Caenorhabditis elegans: one gene and its partners. The protein of the gene in region 1 purifies or fractionates together with the protein of each later gene. This does not show direct contact. Each region holds a gene or a part of one and is shown in the gene's direction. Other genes may lie near its edges. The genes, in order: lec-9, chin-1, K01A2.5 and rcat-1.

Region 1 (3,561 bases):
GAAAACACATTTTTTTGCGCTCTGTGTCATGTTTTAGATCTGAAAATTTAGTTTTTCTTTTAGATGAAGTAGCGTTAGTAAAATGAGAAAATATCACACAAATTTTCAATTTTTCTTTTAAATTAATTCAATTACGGTAAGACTTTGAAGTTTTTGCAGTGTTACTTGCTCATATTGAACGAAATGAAGCGTAATTAACAAAATTCAAACTGGCCCTACTTCTTCTTCAAGTTCAGTGGACCCTGTGACTTGAAGCAGTGTAAAACTTAGTTATAATCTCTGTAATCCAATTTCAACAGTTTTGCTCAAGTAGAACCACTATTTCCAACTCGCTTCAGTGTCATAGTGTCCTTTTCAGCTAGAACGATGACTACCGACGAGTTAGAAATTGTGTCTGCTTGTTGAATGAATAAAGTTGCTCCAGGAGCATGGTTGGGAATGAATGATAAGAACTGATGGCTATCAGGAATTGTGTAGCATTAAACCTTGTGGCACGCCCTACACAATGATGACGTCATTGAGGTGAAGAGTGGGAGGGGACCATTGGAATGCATTGTGCCAACAAGAATAAGTTTAAGCCTGCTCGACACGATGAAAATTATTTTAATGTTCTCAGAAAACCCGAAAAAAACTGTGAAAATAATCATAACTATTGAAAAATCTTACAATTTTTCACAAAACGGAAGTTAAGAGTTTCCACCGATTTAAATTAAAATAAAATATCGCGACTGGAACTCATTATAGTTAGTCGATTGCTCTACATTTAGGCAAGCAGAAAGAAAACTAGACATGGCGTGCAACAAGGAAACAGAAAAAGGTACTTAATTCTTTCAATGTTGCAGTGCCTTCGATTACAACTTAATTGAATTCGAGAAACTTGCAAGATAGCGAGGAAATTGAAATTTTGGAGTTTACTTGCTGACACTATGTCCGTGGAAAAACTGGCACAACAAATGAAATTTTTTAAAAATTTGATATAGGGTTTCTGTAATACAGGTATGTAAAAACAGTGTTTGAGAAAACTTGATGTGGTGCTTATTATTCAGTTTACTACTTCCTACAATTTTTTTTAATTTTACAGCGGCAGACTTTTTATGGGAAAATTTTTATAAGCCAATCTGGGATTTCAACAGATTTGTTTGAGAGAACTAAGAGCCGACAGAAATCGATGACAGCCATTGGCTACTGATGAGCATCATTGGATAAGAATAATTGTTTTTTTTTTAATTTTGTTTGAAAGATACATTTTTACGACTGCAAAACCAGCGGATTCATGGCATTTAATCCTAATCAGAATAATTTCATCTGAGAATCACAAATCAACAAATGCCAATGTTCAAGTTTTGTCTTCGGGAAAATTTCAGCTTTTAGCTTTAATTTCTGTACCGTTTCCGAAACTCTAAAAAACAAACATTTTGTTGTCACGTGAAGTTTTCGTTTTTCCTGTTTTGAAAAATCTTAATTGTTCAAATTTTCAGGACAGTTTTTAAAGAATAATTTCTGATCATTAGGTATTAAAAAAATTTATTTTTCTCAATAAAACCAACCCCTTATTATTATTTTTAAAATTCTAGATTTTTTCATATGTCCATTTTTCTCAAATAACACTGAAAAAACCAATAATTTTCCTGATATCTACAATTTAGTTGAATCAGAAGTTAGACGATTGTCTTCTCGGCTTGTAAACTGTCACTTAAAATAATCGTCCTAATTCCCGTTTTACGCTATCAAAAAGTATTTTAAATGTCAACTAACACATCATGCACTTTGCGACAATCAAACAAACTCTTCATAGTACTCCCCAGGAAAACGATGACTATTTGGCAGAGAAACGCATAAAATTCCATTTTCAATCCATATTGTAAACATTTTTGTATTAGGCAGGCAAAACGTGACACGTCATTCCAGTGATATCGAAAGTTTACACGGCCAAACTTCATCGCAGCTGAGAGGAAGAAGGCATAGATAAGAAAGTGAGAATAAATAGGCCACAACCGAGAATCGAAACACTTGAAATTCATATCTTGAAGTTTCATTTCATTTCATTTTTTTTCTGAAAATGGCCGCTCCAATTCTCAATCCAGTAAGTCAACCCTCCCCTCCTCTTTCCAAAACAAAACTAATTCAAAAAGCGTTTTCAGTCAGTCCCAGGAACCTTTGCTCTCCCCTTCGGAGTTCGCAGCGGACTTCAAATTGCTGTCAATGGATTGGTTAAGCACAAAAAGTGGGTTTTAAAAGATATCAACATAAAAATGATGACATCGGTTTTCAGGGACTTTGTCGTCAACCTGATCTCCGGTGGAAACATCGCTCTTCACGTCAACTTCCGATTCGAGAAGCAGAAGATTGTGGCAATCAACGCTAAAATTGATAATGCATGGGGAAACGAGGTACGTTGTTTTGAAATCAGACTGTTTAGCGGGAAGAGTTGGATTGAATTTGTATGCATAAGTTCATAAAAAATCGTGTGTGGGAAACTCTGAATGTTTTGAGTCGCTCGGTAGTTAGGTTGTTTTCCAACATAGGTTGCACTGTTAGTGAAACTAAATTATAAACATACAATGAATTCCTGTAAGCTATGTAGTTTGCAGATAGCATGGCAACCTAGGCCAAAAAGCTACATTACGCTTCAGTCACAGAGTGCCATTGGCGAACACTTGCATGCTCTTAACAACCTGTAACAGAAGGGTGGGCACCATTAAAAACAAAATTCCCTCCAAATTTCCAGTCCCATTTTCGTGGACCAAAATTGAAAATTTCAGATCTCCCACGCCAACCCACTTCACCACGACCAGGCCTTCGACCTGCAAATCCGTGTCTACCCAGGATACTTCCACATCACCACCAACGGAGTTCTTCTCGGAGACTTCCCACATCGTCTTCCCTTTGAAAGCATTCAGGCTATCAATCTCGAAGGAAAAGTTCACATTAACAATGTTCAATATTCTCAATTCCATTAAATTAGTCGTTACCACATTTTTTCAATTTCTTTTTTATTGGACACTTTTGTAATAAACATGTGCAAAACTGCCGTCTTTTGACTGCTCTTATCAGTTTAGCATTGCTGGCAAATAGCTATAATTTCGAGAAACACTGGACAGTTTCGAAACTTGAGTGTTTGAATTCTTGGCATACTAGTTTTTGCGATTGTGTTTCACAAATATTTATCAGGAAATTAAATATTAATTTAGAAAATGATAGTACAGGTGGGATAGGGAAACATTGACAAATTGCGAGTTTCAGAGGAGGTTTTTGGCAGAATTGAAAAGTAGAGATTAACTGAGAGAGGTGGAGAAAATTGCAAGAATAAAGCCATGGACAGGAAAACAGGAAAAATAAAAACATTCAATATAATACAAACTTTAAAAATTCCAAAATATATATAGAGAGTACAACTTTTTGTTTGGGCTGATAGTTTTTTGATACATAAATCGACAAGTAAATTTTTAGTGACTTTGATTAATTTTTATTCATACAAATTGTTGATTAGTTGATGCTACTAGAGTAGAAGTTTCAGATTGCACGGTTGTGAGCAGGATAACGGTATGGGTATGTCGGCTG
Region 2 (8,051 bases), on another chromosome or scaffold:
AAAATTTGGACAAAAACCTGTTTTTTTTTTGTCAGATTTTTGCAATTTTTCGATTTTTACACCAAAACTTGACCAAAATCGGGGAAAACTGAATTTTCAAGCCATTTAAATGTAATTTTGAGCTTTAAAAGCTTAGAATTAGCAAAAATTTGAATTTTCCGAAGTTTTTCAGTTAAAAATGTAAATTTGGGCAGAGGTTCCCCGGGAAAGTGGTCAAATGTGCTCGGTGAGCAATTAAAAGCCAAAAAATTCCAAAATTTCGCAGTTTTTAATGCGAAAATTTGAAATTTCGAGCCCAGAATCGCCAATAGAGCACATTTGCCACGAAAAAAAAATGAATTTTTTTGAGAAATAGTATGGAAATTACTAAAATTTTCATAAAAATCTGATAATTTTAGGAATTTCCGGAACTTTTTTACGGCTTTTTAACCAATTTTAAATTTTTATGTTTAAAAACTTTTTTTTTTTGGAAAAAAAAACATAATTCCCTCAATTTTAGTAATTTCGAACTAGAAAATTGGAGTTTTTTGTAATTTTTTAAGCCTAAACCCCTTTTTTTCCACCAATGTCGTAAGATTTGGTGTTTTGGGTTACGGTAGTCGGTGTTTGCGTACTTTTGGGGCTACAGTACCCCGCGAAATTCCAAATTGAGCTAAAAAGTCATACTAAAAGCTGTTCAAAGCTAAACTTTGCGCTGATTTCGAATTTTTAACTTTTCCCGTTGGTTTTTCAATTTTTTGCACTAAAATTTTTGAAAAATTCGATTTTCTCAGAATTTTCAGAATTTTTCAGACGTTTTCAATGTGTTTTTCGGGTTCCTCGTGATTTTTTAGCCCCTCAGCCCATTTTTCAGGGCAAAATCTTAAAATGTCGTAAGATCCGGTGTTTTGGGCTACGGTAGTCGGTGTTTGCGTACTTTTGGGGCTACCGTACCCCAAAACTCCAAAAATTGCGATAGAAAACCCAATTTTAAAGGTCTTAAGGCAGAATTTCGCGTAGAATTCGATTTTTCCAACAAAAACCTCTGAATTTCGCTGAAAATCCCAGTTTTACCTGAGTTTCATAGGAATTTCCGGGTAAAAGTGGTCTAATCGACCTGTCAATGGCTCTGGAGATGAGGATTTCATTGTCAGATTGACTGAGCTCACGACGCAGGAAATTTGTTGGAATTCGGCCAATTGCTGACGCTGACGGTCTGGAATTTTCAGTTTTTAGGCCATTTTTATCGGTTTTTAGCGGTTTTTTCGCAATTTTTTTTCCGAATTTCTCACCGATATTCAACTTGTAGCGGTACTCCACTACCATCTCCTTGCTTGGATTTCCGTTGTACTACTGTAGCCATCACGGCGTTGTCTCCGAATGAAGCAACTACGGTGGATGACGCAAAACGGGCGAGGTGGCCTGAAAAATCAAAATTTTCATGAAAATTCCTTTTCTAGACAGTGGAGAATTTTTTCGCGCATCTTTTGCGGCAAAAATCGGCTCGAAATCTTTATTTTTAAGATTTTTAGCAATTTTTCCCGTTTTTTTTCTAGTTTTTTTTCAAATTCCCACCAGCTTTCAGCTCGATTCCACTTTTTCCATCAAAATCCACTGCTACTGATTGTTCTCGACCCGCTAATCGATATTCTTTCCTGGAAAACTCGCCAGATTTTTATTTTTTTGAATAATTTTCTGACTTACGTGTGAAATCTCTTGGAAATGTGGATTGGCAACCGGGAAAGTTTCATTTTTAATCTAAAAAACTAATTTTTATTCAATTTTTATCGAAAAATTGAGAAAAAAACAGCGAAAATGAGTGAAAATTCAATATTTTCAAGTTTTGAATTAAAAAAATAATTTGGTCGAGAAATGCGCCAAGGAAATTTTGCTGGCGCGTGTCTCGATCGCTGGCACTTTTCGCGATTTTCTTCAGAATTTTATTTATTTTCTAAGAAATTAGCTCAACTTTGCTCATTTTTCTCCAAATTTCTTCGATTTTTTTGCATTTTCAGTTAAAAAATCAATAAAAATCGAATTTTTGCAGGTATGGAAGACGACGGGCCTCCTGGGAGCTCGGGTAAGTCATTTTTTTCAAGCTCAACAAGTTTTGGAAGCTTTAAAAATATCCGAAAAGCTAAAATCTCAAATTTTCCAATTTCCAGGAGCATCAAAAGGATACTGGAAGCAAAATTTGTACCTTTTACAAGAAAAAGCGCCGAAACCCAACGCAGTTTTGTGCCGAAAACCTCTTCAGCAGAGACCTCGACATTTTGGAGCCGAATTTCACGGATTAATCGATAGAAATGAGGTTTTTAGTGATTTTTGGGTGTTTTAAGCTCGAAAATTCGATTTTCAGGCCGAAAAAATGCTGCTGGAGGCCGGAGAAGGCTCGTATTTGGTGCGGGAGTCGAATCGGAGCAGAGACGCGTGCACTTTGTGTATGATTTTTGATGCAAAGGTTATGAATTATAAAGTAAGCATTTTTAGAGTTTAAAAAGCAGAAAAAATCGATAAACATCAAGAAAATACCCGAAAAATATCAAATTTTCCGCTAAATTTTCGAATTTAGTGAAAAATTCCCAATTTTTGTTAACTCGCCGTGGCAAATGCGCTCTATCGGCAATTTTAGGCTGGAAATCTCGAATTTTTGCATAAAAAACTGCGAGAATTCGGAATTTTTCACCTAAAATTGCTCCGCGAGCACATTTGACCACTTTCCCTGGGAACCGCTGCCCAAATTTTCATTTTTAATTCAAAAACTTGGGATTTTTTCAATTTTTAGCCAAATTTTTAAATTTCCAGCTCTACTACGACGGTCAATTCTACGTTGGGGAGAAGCGTTTCGACACTATGGACCTTTTGGTGGCTGATGGGCTCATTTCAATGTTTGTGGACCTTCACGCGGCGGATTATATAAAAAGAATGGCGGATGAGGCGATTTATGAGGATAGGTATGGGAATTGGCGGAACATTAGCGAAAAATAGGCCGAAAATCATGAAAAATGGCAAAAATCACAAGAAAATGAGCCAAAAATTATAAAAATTGAAGAAAATTGACTTAGAATATAAATTCCGTGGCAAATGTGCTCTATCGGCGATTTTAGGCGGGAAATTTCAAATTTTCGCATTAAATACTGCAAAAATTTGGATTTTTAAGCTTTTAATTGCTCACCGAGCACATTTGACCATTTTCCCGGGGAACCTCTGCCCGAATTTTCATTTTTACCTCAAAAACTTTGGAAACATGACATTTTCGCTAATTTTCTGCTTTTAAAGCGTAAAATAGCTCAAAAATGCAAAATTTTCGGGTTTTTGGTTGAATTTTGCTCCAAAAATCGGAAAATAGTGGGAAAAATCTGAAATTTACTGAAAAATATGGTAAAAACTAGATTTCTTGCCCTAACGTTAATTTTTAAATGCTAAAAACTACAAAACGCGTCGAAAATTCAAAAACTGCCAATTTTTTCTTAGAAAATTCTAAAAATTTCAATAAAAAGCTCACTTAAATAATTCAAACCTACTTTCTGTTTTCTCCGTGGCAAATGTGCTCTATCGGCGATTTTGGCTTAGAAATTTCAAATTTTCGCATTAAATACTGCAAAAATTTGGATTTTTAAGCTTTTAATTGCTCACCGAGCCCATTTGACCACTTTCCCGGGGAACCTCTGCCCAAATTTCGATTTTTACCTTAAAAACTTGAAAAAATTAAAATATTGCTAATTTTAAGCTTCGAGAGCTCAAAATTACCGTAAAATTGCCGAAAAATTGAGTTTTCCCTGATTTTGGTCAAATTTTGATGTAAAAATCGGAAAATAGTGAAAAAATATGACAAGTTTACGGTAAAAACTGAAAAATATCCAAAAACTAGTCTTTTTGCCCTAATTTAGATTTTTCAGTGCTAAAAAGCTACGAAACGCGTCAAAAATTCCAATTTTTTTCTAGAAAATTCGAAAACTTTCTCTGAATTTTTGAATTCTCCCTAGAAATTGTCTTTGTACGCTTTTCCGTGGCAAATGTGCTCTATCGGCGATTACGGGCTGAAAATTTCAAATTTTTGCATTAAAAACTGAAAAATTTTGAAATTTTCCACCCGACATTGCTCACCGAGCCCATTTGACCACTTTCCCGGGGAACCTCTGCCCAAATTTTCATTTTTACCTTAAACAGTTTAGATTTTTGCGGTTTTTCCAGTTTTCCCCATAGAAATATCGATTTTTCAGCCCATATTCTCGGTATACGAACGCCGCCGCCACCACTTCAGACATTGTACGCCGTCCCGTCACTCGAGCACACAACTTCACGTCGTACACCTTCAAAGCTCCGCACTACTGTGATTATTGCCGAAATTTCCTGTGGGGATTGGTGCATCAGGTAAAATATTATAAAATATACGCGAAAATTAAGAAAAAACTGGAAATTGTGAAATTTTAGGGCGAAATTCTGGAATTTTTTGAAAAAAATTCATGAAAAAAACACAATTTTCGCAAAAACTGGCAATTTCTTCGGATTTTTAATGCCTTTTTCGAATTCCCCGCACTATTTTACCCCCGGAACTCGTTTTTCAGGCAAAAATCTCGCAATTACGTAAGATCCGGTGTTTCGGGTTACTGTAGTCGGTGTTTGCGTACTTTTGGAGCTACAGTACCCCGCGAAATTTCAAAATTGAGCTAGAAAGTCTGAGTTAAAGCTATTTAAGGCTAAATTTTGCGCTGATTTCGAATTTTATGAAGGATTAGCGCAATTAATATTTTTTCGAGAAACAATTTCAAAAAAATCAAATTTTCCAGGGAATGCGATGCGAGGACTGTGGCTTCGCGGCTCACAAAAAATGCTCGGAAAAAACGCTTCACGACTGTGTGCCCGACTCGAAATACGTGAAACGCATGTTCGGCGTCGACATTACCACCCTGTGCATGGCTCACGGAGCAGATTTGCCGCCAATCGTGCCACTTTGCATTGGAGAAGTCGAATCGAGGGGTCTTGATGTGGAGGGGATTTATCGGGTTTCGGGATCCTATGATCATATGGAAAAGCTCAAGCAACAGTTTGATTCTAATCAATATGTGGACTTGGCTACGGTAATTTGCGCGGGATTTTCAGCGTTTTCCCGGAGTTTTTGCCTAAAAAATTGCAAAAATCCAAAGAAAATGAGCCAAAAATCGTAAAAATTGAAGAAAATTGACCTAAAATAAGATTTCCGTGGCAAATGTGCTCTATCGGCGATTTTGGCTTGAAAATTTTAAATTTTCGCATAAAAAAACTGCTAAAATTTGGAATTTTCCACCCGGAATTGCTCACCGAGCACATTTGACCACTTTCCCGGGGAAGCTCTGCCCAAATTTTCATTTTTACTCGAAAAACTCGAAATTTCACATATTCAGCTCAATTTTTCAAGTTTTCTACTGCAAAATTCACTTTGAAAACCCTAACAATATCCTAGAACCCGTTTTTTGTGAAATTTCAAATATGCACCTATGGCTCAGTAGGTAACACAGATGGCTGCCAAGCACAAGACCGGGGTTCGACCCTCGCCGCGGCGAATTTCTTTTATTTTGCTTGAAATTGATTCTCAGAACGATTTAAAGTTTTATGACTCAAATTTTTTCTTGAAACTCAATTTTTGTGTAAAAATCTGAAATTTACTGGAAAATATCGAAAAAAAATTAGTTTTCTCACACTAAAAAATTCGAAAATTCAAAAACTGTCTATTGTTTTCTAGAAAATTCACAAAAATTTCACTAAATTTTTGAATTCTTCTTTAAAATTGTCTTTGTATGCTTTTCCGTGGCAAATGTGCTCTATCGGTGATTTTGGGCTGAAAATTTCAAATTTTCGCATAAAAAACTACGAAAATTTGGAATTTTCAGACCTCTATTGCTCACCGAGCACATTTGGCCACTTTCCCGGGGAACCTCTGCCCAAATTTTCATTTTTACCCCAAAAAACTTTCAATTTTTCTCAAAATTTCACCAATTTTTTCAGGTTTGCGATATTCACACAGTTTGCGGGCTCTTGAAGCTCTACTTCCGCCTACTACCACAGCAACTGATCCCGTTCAGCGTCCATAAGCAGCTTCTCGTCGCCTACCAGGAGACGAATCAACGATCTACACATGAGAGGGAGCGGCAGATAAGGTGCTGGAAATTTGGGGATTTTGGGTCCAAAATTTTCCCAAAATTGTAGAAATCCCGGTGAAAATGAGCCAAAAAATAGCTTTAAAAAATTTTTTTGGAAATTCCGTGGCAAATGTGCTCTATCGGCGATTTTGACTTGGAAATCTCAAACTTTCGCGTAAAAAACTGTGAAAATTTGAATTTTTCCACCCAAAATTGCTCACCGAGCCCATTTGACCACTTTCCCGGGGAACCTCTGCCCAAATTTTCATTTTTTCTCTCGAAAACTGGAAAACATTCTGAAATTACTGGAAAATTTCAGAAAAGTGATGATGGAGCTGTCCGATGCGAACATAATCACACTTGGAGCAGTGTTGGCGCATTTGAAAAAGGTAAAAATTCAAAATTTCACTATTTAAGTGGATTTTCGAAGGTTTTTGACCTAAAAATTCACTCCAAACCCCCTGAAAATACCCTAGAACCCATTTTCGCGAAATTTCGAAAATGCATCGGTGGCTCAGTAGGTAACACGGATGGCTGCCAAGCACACGACCGGGGTTCGACCCCCACTGCGGCGAATTTTTTGTTTTGATTGATATTGGTTCTCAAAGCATTTAAAAGTGTCGAAAACCAGTTTTAGAATTATTTTCTGTCCAAATTTCGAATTTTTCTTATAAAAATGAATAAAGCCCCAAATAACTTAATTCTAGTCAATTTTTCATCGCTTTTAGGTGTAAAAATCAGTTTAAACCCCCTAAGAATTCCCGGAAACCCATTTTCCGCAAATTTTCAAAAATGCACCTGTGGCTCAGAGGGTAACACAGATGGCTACCAAGCACACGACCGGGGTTCGACCCCCGCCGGGGCGAATTTCTTTTATTTTGCTTGGAATTGGTTCTCATAGCGTTTTAAAGTTTTATGGCTCAAACTTTTGCAAAATTCGCTTAATTTTTTTTCGTAAGAACAAGGAAATATTCTAAAAACTCAACTCTAGTAATTTTTCATAGCTTTTAGGTGTAAAAATTAGTGCAAACCCCCTAGAAATACCCCGAAACCCAGTTTTTGCGAAATTTAAAACTTGCACCGATGGCGCAGTGGGTAACACGGATGGCTGCCAAGCACAAGACCGAGGTTTGACCCCCGCTGTGGCCAATATTTTTTATTTGGCTTGAAATTTAGTTTTCCCCTAAAAAATTAGTTCTTAAGTTAAAAAATTCGAATTTTCAAACAAATTTTCTGGAATTTTTCAAAAAATTTCCCCAATTCCAGGTGGCAGATCACAGTGCAAAAAACAAGATGACCGTCGAAAATCTGGCGACAATTTTCTCGCCGACACTCTTCTGCTCGGGCTCCATACCCGCCATGCCGAACCATCAGCTGCTCCATTTTCTGATCAATAATCCACGTGTCGTGCCGAAACATCATTAATTTATTGCTCCCCGTGGTGGCAAGTGTGCTCTATCGGCGATTTTGGGTCGAAAATCTCAAATTTTCGTATGAAAAATTGTGAAAATTTGGAATTTTCGACTTTTAATTGCTCACCGAGCCGGCTTGACCACTTTCCCGGGGAACCTCTGCCTAAATTTTCATTTTCCTAGATCTATATCTCCCAGTTTATGCATTTTCTTCAGCAATTTCTCTCATCTCTCCGCATACTTTTCTTCATTTACATATCGGGTACCCGTTTTCTCTCGCTTTTGCATGTTTTTTGACCAGTTTTATGCATTTATTTATGATTTTTCCTTATTTTTCACATGTTGTTACGTTCTTATTGCATAATGTTTTTTTCCGAGTTTTAGAATATAAATTTATTGAGCTGTAATTCAAAAATTCTCAAAATTTTGTGATTTTAAGACCCCTGGCGCGTTGAATTCCGAAATTTTCATATTTTTCTGCAGTTTTTGGCTCAAAGCCTTGAATTTTGGCTTGGAACCGATGATTTTCAGTCAGAAGCCC
Region 3 (3,437 bases), on another chromosome or scaffold:
GACAGTATATAGAAGAATCCTAAGACGAGCTAGAGTATTCAGAGATCGACAAGGACAGCTCACGGATCAATGGGAGCCGCTTGGAGATCCAGTGGAAGTGGAGTCTTGGACATTGACACGGAAACAAGGGAATACTGGAAAATGAGAAAATCGTCTTCAAGTTTTTCTCTAATATTGTAATTTTCAAGTTTTATTGATTAAATTTGGTTCATAAAAATTTATTTGTGTTCGACAACATGGGTGAAGCCGCATTGTTCCAGATGTGTAAAACTGTGTTGTCCTAAAAGATCAAAGACCCAAGCTTGACAAATCTGAAAAAAATGCTTTCAGCACTCCCCGCAAAATCACATGATTCGATCATCAATTTCCTCTTTGCGGTTTTATACAATACCTTCAGACAATAGGAACAATTTTCTGTCTCTTCCATATCCCTTTTCCCTTTCATTTCCCATTTATTTCCCTCTGTGTGTCCAAGTGCCTGTGTTCTTCTCCTTCTTCTTTCATCTTAACAACATCTTCCTCCGACTGCGTTTGTACACTTTCACCTGTTATTCCCTATTTACCCTCATATCCTAGATTGAAATCTGCATACTCTCCCAGTATAAATCAAAAGGTTTACTTTACTGTTTCATAGTTCCTTTTTATTAGAAACTACACATTTATATTACAAATAACTAGATGTTTCGGTGTTTTAGTGGTTATGTTTTTTTTAATAATTTTTATTACCTTTCTAGAATCTTCCAAAATTTTCTCGAATTATTCTGAAGGTTCCAGAACCTTCCAAAATTTTCTCGTATTTTCCAGATAGTTCTAGAACATTCCGGAATTCTATCTAATTTTTCAGAAGGTTTTAGAACATTCCAAAACTTTCTCGTATTTTCCAGATGGTTCTAGAACTTTCCGCAGCTTACAGGCACAAAATTAATCCGGTCTTGTCCAAATTCCTTCTGAAATCTTAATCTGTAGGCTACAAATTTCTCATTCCTATCGGACTTTCAAAATCTTTTTCGTAGAACTATTCGTCATTCAAATACATGCACTTTTAAAATTTCCTCTTTGGTTTTCCTTCCTCTTTAGCCTATTTCACCGAATTTTTGAGATCAATAATTCCATGTGTCCGATTTTCGAATAATTTAATATTCACTATCAGTTTTCACGTATCATAATTCTGGAAGTCGATCAAAAAACAATGTTTTGTACTCTACATTTCTGTATTTAAATATTGTAGAGGTTCACAATACATGTTCTCGCTCTTCAGAAAATTCCGAATTCTATAAATGTCGCGGAACCATAATTATTTGGCCTAAACCGATTTCAAATACCTATGTTAATTCTAGGTCAATCCGGTGGTTGTAAATCATCGACAATAACAATATATACGACCTACTGTACTAGTAGGTTGTAAATACTGTAGTACTACCACACCACAAGAGGCGTTCTCTTAGCAATACATTTGAACCTTGACCCTTGTTACGTCTCTTTCTAGGATAGAAGAAATCGGGGAGATGTACTTCAAAGGTGTGCGGTCTCAAAGGTCACAAAGGTGTCTCAAACATTTATATTATCCGGAAAATTTCCTCACCGTCGCTACCTCATAATTAACAAATTAAACACCTAAATAAATTTCAGCAAAAGAAAAATGACTCAAAGCGACTATATCGAAAGTTCGGAACACATCAAGGACACTCAAATCGGTTACTGTAAATACGGCCACGGTCCGAACTACATTCTCGCGATTTGCGGTGCTGTCGGCTGCTATAAAAAAGATTGGCCACTCAAATTGCTCTCTCATTTCCCACCAGATCAGGTCACAATTGTTGGGATTGATCCTCCAGGTTACGGTACCTCAAGACCTCCAGAGCGAAAACAAGAAGTTCAGAGATGTATGAAGGATAGTGAATATTGCCTAGGGTTAATGGAGGTGAGCTTTTAATTTTGAAATTAAAATTTTTACGTTTTCAAAAAGCCTCCAAATTTTAGACCCTGAAACTAGAGCCGTTCACCGTGATGGGGTGGTCAGAAGGTGCTAGAACAACGGTCCACGTGGCAGCTAAAGGAAAGGAAAAAGTGAATCGAATGATTGTAATGGCTGGTGCAACAAAAGTTAATCATCTAGGAGCCATGGCTTTCAAGGGTGAGATATTTAGATATATTTGGAAGATTACTGTTTTTTAATGAAATTTCTTAATTTGACACCAATATGGCCCATTTTTCCACATAGAAGCAGCAATTTATGCCTACCTACCTACAAGATTTTTTATGGGAAAATAAATCGAACGTCCATTTTATGGGTGTGGCCATCTATTGGTTTTGTGCTCTTTATAAATTAATTTTTGGAATTTCAGGAATGCGTGAAACAAATCATTGGCTAGCAGCCGGTCGTCAACCATATTTGGACCATTATTCGCCGGAAACACTCCGGACACAATGGGCGGCACTTTGTGACGTCGTAGATCAGTGAGTTTTGTGGGCGGGGCTTATGCGAAGTTGTGTATATTCCTGTAGGCACAAATATGTCTGCCAACTACCTTCAAGGCGACCTACGTCTGCTTCCTACCTAACCAAACGAATTTTCAGAGTTCACTCGTTCTGCGGTGGCCGTTTCCCGTGTGACCTGGTACTTCCACAAGTCAAATGCCCGACACTAGTGATGAATGGTGGATTGGACCGGTTCTGTGGTGACCCGAATGTATGCTTCATCCCAGTGCTCAAGAGTTTGGCAAAAGTTGAGATTCATGCACAAGGAGGACACGATTTTTATTTGAAATATCCCAAATGGTTTTCCGGAAAGGTTCTGGAATTCTTGAAGAGCACGGAGAAGAAATGATAAATATATGAAATTTGTATTTTGTATTTTGTGAAGAATAAAGTTTATAAAAAATTCGTCCTGGTCTCAAGCAATTTCGCTATTACACTCATAAGCTCCACCCACAAAATGACTGATTTCATTAGGAATTTTGCCAAAAGAAAATTTCAGAAAAAATTCTAAAATTTCCAGAAAAAAAATCTTCCCGTTCACAAAGGGTTTCTGTCCGAGCCTTGTGGGCGGGGCCCATGCGAAGCCCAATTAAAATTTTTGGGACAGTATACTTTCTGGAAACGTCCGTGAAAAAGTTTATACAAATTTATTTCACAAAAATAAAAATAATTACGGACTAGCGTGACTAACAGGCTTCCGGCGAACATTCTTTGCTCTTGTCGCCAAAAGTAGTCGTCTCTGCTTCTTGAGCACTCGAGCCAGCACTCGTTTCCTGTACTCATCCTCTTTATTGTACTCTGACACGTAACGGCTTTGGGATGCTGTGGCGTAGCTTGTGGACACTGTAAAAAATATGTTGAAATTTGAAATTTGAGTTTTTTTAGGCCGTAATATCAGCCCCGCCTACTTAATGGAAAAAAGTAGCCTACCTGGTGCCGGCTGCACATAACTATTCCGA
Region 4 (3,935 bases), on another chromosome or scaffold:
TGTAAAGACTCGGGAAGTGAAGAAACCACCCAGATATCCAAACTTTTCACTGAAAAAAGATACGAAAAGTGGGGAGATTGCTTACTTTTTGGCAAAATAACTTTATTTTAATCTTTTCAGATCAAAAAATGAGCCAGCACTTTGATTATCTTCTAGTATTAGACTTCGAAGCCACGTGTCAAGATAACTGGAAAGGGCCGATGCATCCAGTCCAAGAAATCATCGAATTCCCAGTGGTCCAGCTCTCGACGGCTGATTGGAGTGAAATTCGTCGTTTTCATCAATACGTTAAGCCGACGGAATGTCCAAGGCTCACATCTTTCTGCACATCTTTAACAGGAATTATTCAGGTTTTTAATGCAAAAATTTCGAGGAAAAAATGCTAAAATTCCAGGAAATGGTTGACGAAAAACCGACGCTTCCACAAGTTTTATCGGAATTTGATAGCTGGCTGAAAGAGGATTCTCGACTGGAAAAGGGCAAATTTGCATTCGTCACTTGTGGAGATTGGGATCTGAAAGTCGCGCTGCCGAATGAGGCGAAATTTAAGAATATTGGAATTCCAGAGTAAATTTTTTAGAGTAAAACTGACAATTTGAGGCTGAAAATTCGTACAATTTGACTCTAAAAATCTGAAATTTCATTAAAAAACAATCATTTTTGTCCCACGAACCGCACAAATCCAAACAAATTGTCCTTCAGGTACTTCAATCAATGGATCAACGTGAAAAAGGCTTCTGCGGAGCACACAAATCATTTCGCGAAAGGAATAGCCCAGCTTCTGGCCATCTACAAGCTGCAACATCAGGTTTTCTACTGAAATTCTGAAATCTCAGCAAAATTCTAATTTTCCAGGGTCGCCACCACAGTGGAATTGATGACGTGGCAAATATCTGCGAAATTGTCCGGTGTTTGGGCATGAACGGGCACAACTATCAAATCACAGGCTCCAAAGACACAATGACGCGGAGGGTGTTCAGAGATGCGAGGAAATAATTTTTGTCGATTTTTCAGCAATATGTATTAATACGAAATATTGACTTTTCCGCCATTTTTCCGTTCAGAACAATAAATCTTTGCAAAAAATATAGCGAGAATATCGAATTGCAAGTACAGTTTCACGTATACGTTTCTAGAAATTAGATTTTTTTGGAAGTTTTAATCTGTCAATTCTCTCCGCCATGAGGAAGTCTACACACTGAAGAAGTTTCGCCACTTTCTTCCCTTTTAAATTGATTTTTTAACCGCTTGAAAATATTCATAAAAAGTTTTCTCTCTCGGTCCAATCTGAAAAAAAATTGCAACTTCAGTTGTATTTAATAAAGCTTTATAAGACACAAAAAATATTATTTCAAACATCGCGCTTAAAGTTCTCTGCAATGGAGCGGACTTGCAGACACGCAACGCGAACACGCGACGCGTCGAAGTGACAGGATTTACGAGCGTAAATCCTACCAATCGTTTTAATTTTCTATTTTCCTCTGATTTTTGTCAATTTTCCATAAACTTTTAGAATTTAACGCAAAAAAATTCACAAAAGTGAATGCCAATTTTTCTGGAACTGATAATCCTTGAAAACACGTATTTTTCACTTCCGGATATAGAAATGTTTGAAAATTGCAGGAAATGACCACAAATCCTATCGAACTCGAGTCCTGCATTATTGATCAGATACGATGCCCAGAATGCGCCCTAACATGTCTACAAAAGAATATCTATCGTCACATGACACAGATTCATAATTGGACAACTGAAGATTGTCAGGAACTGATTGCCGCTATAAAATCTGAAAAAAAGAGCCGAGCATCTAGCACATCGTTTGTTTGCTGCCACTGTAGGATGATATTTCGAAGTGTCAAGCATCTGGTTCAGCATAAAAAGGTAATACAACCCTATTCTTCTGGAAAACTAAATATAAAAATTGGATCTTGCAGATGTGCACTGAACAACCGCAACATGACAACGAGCATCTTGATGTTTATATAGATGAAATGATTGTTGAAGGAGAAGAAGAAGTTGTTGGAATCAATGAATATGATATCAATGAAACTAAAGAATCTACACAAAAACCATCCACATCATCTGGAGATAGTTTCGAGATGAATATTCCGCCACATCGACAAGCTTCTCGTCCAATCCAGCCACATCATTTAACGCAGGAATGGTTGGAATTAGAAAAAATAAAGGTTTCTGTCAAAAACTATGATTTTCAGCCAAATTGCCACCATTATTGAAAAACCTTCAAAATTCTCGTTAATGCAACTACCAGGAAAATATCGTGGATGTAATTTAAAATGTCCCGAATGTTCGAGTACATCAGAGTCGTTGGATGAATTTTTACTGCATTGCCGTCAAGAACACATGTCCCATGATCAGAAGTTTAATTTAGAACGAGAGTTTTTCCAATCAAGAGACCAGTTTAAGGTTTTTAAATATTCTCGATAAAATGACAAAAATCTAATTTTAGGAATGGTTCGATCAGAGACAGGAGGACACATGTACATCGTTGACAAAACGTACAGGACATGCTGGAGAAACACTTTATAGGTGTCATCGTGTCGGAAAGTATCAAAGTGTCGCAAAATCCAGGAAATCGAATCCCAGGAAGATTGACCAGACTTGTACAGCATATTTGAAAGTAAAACATTTTTTAAAAAATTTGTTTTAAAATTTTGAAAAATATTTCAGGTCACAACAGAAGAGGACGGTTCAACTTGGGCAACTGGATGCTTTACTCATATCGGACATGATCTTGATCACAAACTTCTATGGCTCACCGAATCTCAGGAAAAATATGTTCGTGAGCTAATTGACTTGGGATGGACTTCTGATCAGATCTTCTTCTTTATTCGGAATGAGTACAAGGACTACGAGTGTAAATTAAAATATATCTCAAAGAATGATATTAGGTGAGGGTAATCATCCGAAACAGTAGGCAAATATAATGTTTTTTGCAGAAATATCACAGTTCGGTACAATAGAGAACGGGAGAAGCTTGGTTTTTTAACGGACACTGCAAAATCTTCTGCGATTCCGATTAGTTTGAAAGAGCGGCGAGCCGTTGCTGCAGATAGTACGAAAGAACCGAGAGAAGAAGATGATGATGAGGTTAAGGCGAAAATTCCAAGGATGCAAAGCAAACCTGATAACATTGAAAAGGTTTACAGACGGTTAAATTGTTCTGAAAACTCAAAAATTGAATTTTCAGGCAACTACTTCAGAAAATAATTCTGCAAAACATCGCGAACAAGTTGTGGATTCAGAAACTGCGGAAGAAGATGAATATATCAACGTAGTTGATGTGGATACGATGCCACCAAACGATGCTGGAAAAATCACAATTGGCTTAAATTTTTAGTCGATTTAATACATTTTTGCGATATTAAATATGTTGTTCTTGTTATTTATTCATATCATGAAAGTTTATTAGATAATTCAAATCGAAAAAGAGTTATATCTCAAATGCCTGACAATAAACGCTGTATGCTGATGGCTGAAAAAAATTTGGGCAAAAATAAAAAGTTGTCTGGTTTTGTTGAAAACGGGTAATTCATGTATGCTGAATTCAGAAAATCTAGGTTTAACACATCAAAAACTATTCAAAAGTGGCAAAAATGCACAATTTTGAAACTCCTCTAAAATGGGCAATTTTGTAGTTAGAGGACTCAAAATTGATCTCCCAATACTAAAAAGTTTCCCTTTTTCAAATTCTAATGGTTCTGTACAATTTCAAAAAAAAAAATTTCTTGCCCAAAAAAAGGGCAGTCATATATTATTTGAATATTGTCCAAATTTGTTGAAAACGGGTAATTCATTTATGCAGCGTTCAGAAAATCTAGGTTAAACCTATCAAAACCATTAAAAACTGGCAAAAATTGGGCAATTTATTGTAAAAAATCACTCTATTGAAACTCCTCTAACCGGCGGCAGCCGAT

What was found.
Region 2: the proteins of lec-9 (region 1) and chin-1 fractionate together in Caenorhabditis elegans (co-fractionation; one large-scale study listed by BioGRID). This does not show direct contact.
Region 3: the proteins of lec-9 (region 1) and K01A2.5 fractionate together in Caenorhabditis elegans (co-fractionation; one large-scale study listed by BioGRID). This does not show direct contact.
Region 4: the proteins of lec-9 (region 1) and rcat-1 fractionate together in Caenorhabditis elegans (co-fractionation; one large-scale study listed by BioGRID). This does not show direct contact.

Annotation. Positions count from the first base shown.
Region 1 is NC_003284.9:17,598,464-17,602,024, forward strand, and holds lec-9 (Galectin), read left to right. Parts: upstream 1-2,023; 5' UTR 2,024-2,059; coding exon 2,060-2,083; intron 2,084-2,141; coding exon 2,142-2,224; intron 2,225-2,272; coding exon 2,273-2,390; intron 2,391-2,762; coding exon 2,763-2,960; 3' UTR 2,961-3,040; downstream 3,041-3,561. Other genes in the region: C16H3.3 (INCENP_ARK-bind domain-containing protein), read right to left, coding at 3,514-3,558.
Region 2 is NC_003281.10:1,031,188-1,039,238, reverse strand, and holds chin-1 (Chimerin 2), read left to right. Parts: upstream 1-2,026; 5' UTR 2,027-2,028; coding exon 2,029-2,059; intron 2,060-2,144; coding exon 2,145-2,290; intron 2,291-2,338; coding exon 2,339-2,455; intron 2,456-2,784; coding exon 2,785-2,933; intron 2,934-4,202; coding exon 4,203-4,353; intron 4,354-4,769; coding exon 4,770-5,060; intron 5,061-5,964; coding exon 5,965-6,116; intron 6,117-6,417; coding exon 6,418-6,487; intron 6,488-7,364; coding exon 7,365-7,523; 3' UTR 7,524-7,917; downstream 7,918-8,051. Other genes in the region: pnpt-1 (polyribonucleotide nucleotidyltransferase), read right to left, coding at 1,054-1,195, 1,272-1,401, 1,555-1,634, 1,684-1,730.
Region 3 is NC_003280.10:300,776-304,212, forward strand, and holds K01A2.5 (AB hydrolase-1 domain-containing protein), read left to right. Parts: upstream 1-1,629; 5' UTR 1,630-1,639; coding exon 1,640-1,921; intron 1,922-1,980; coding exon 1,981-2,134; intron 2,135-2,345; coding exon 2,346-2,457; intron 2,458-2,577; coding exon 2,578-2,827; 3' UTR 2,828-2,884; downstream 2,885-3,437. Other genes in the region: col-69 (Nematode cuticle collagen N-terminal domain-containing protein), read right to left, coding at 3,149-3,321, 3,409-3,437.
Region 4 is NC_003282.8:253,118-257,052, reverse strand, and holds rcat-1 (C2H2-type domain-containing protein), read left to right. Parts: upstream 1-1,623; 5' UTR 1,624-1,626; coding exon 1,627-1,881; intron 1,882-1,934; coding exon 1,935-2,164; intron 2,165-2,213; coding exon 2,214-2,424; intron 2,425-2,467; coding exon 2,468-2,638; intron 2,639-2,688; coding exon 2,689-2,909; intron 2,910-2,957; coding exon 2,958-3,159; intron 3,160-3,208; coding exon 3,209-3,358; 3' UTR 3,359-3,434; downstream 3,435-3,935. Other genes in the region: R02D3.8 (Exonuclease domain-containing protein), read left to right, coding at 1-68, 121-350, 395-567, 703-808, 856-996.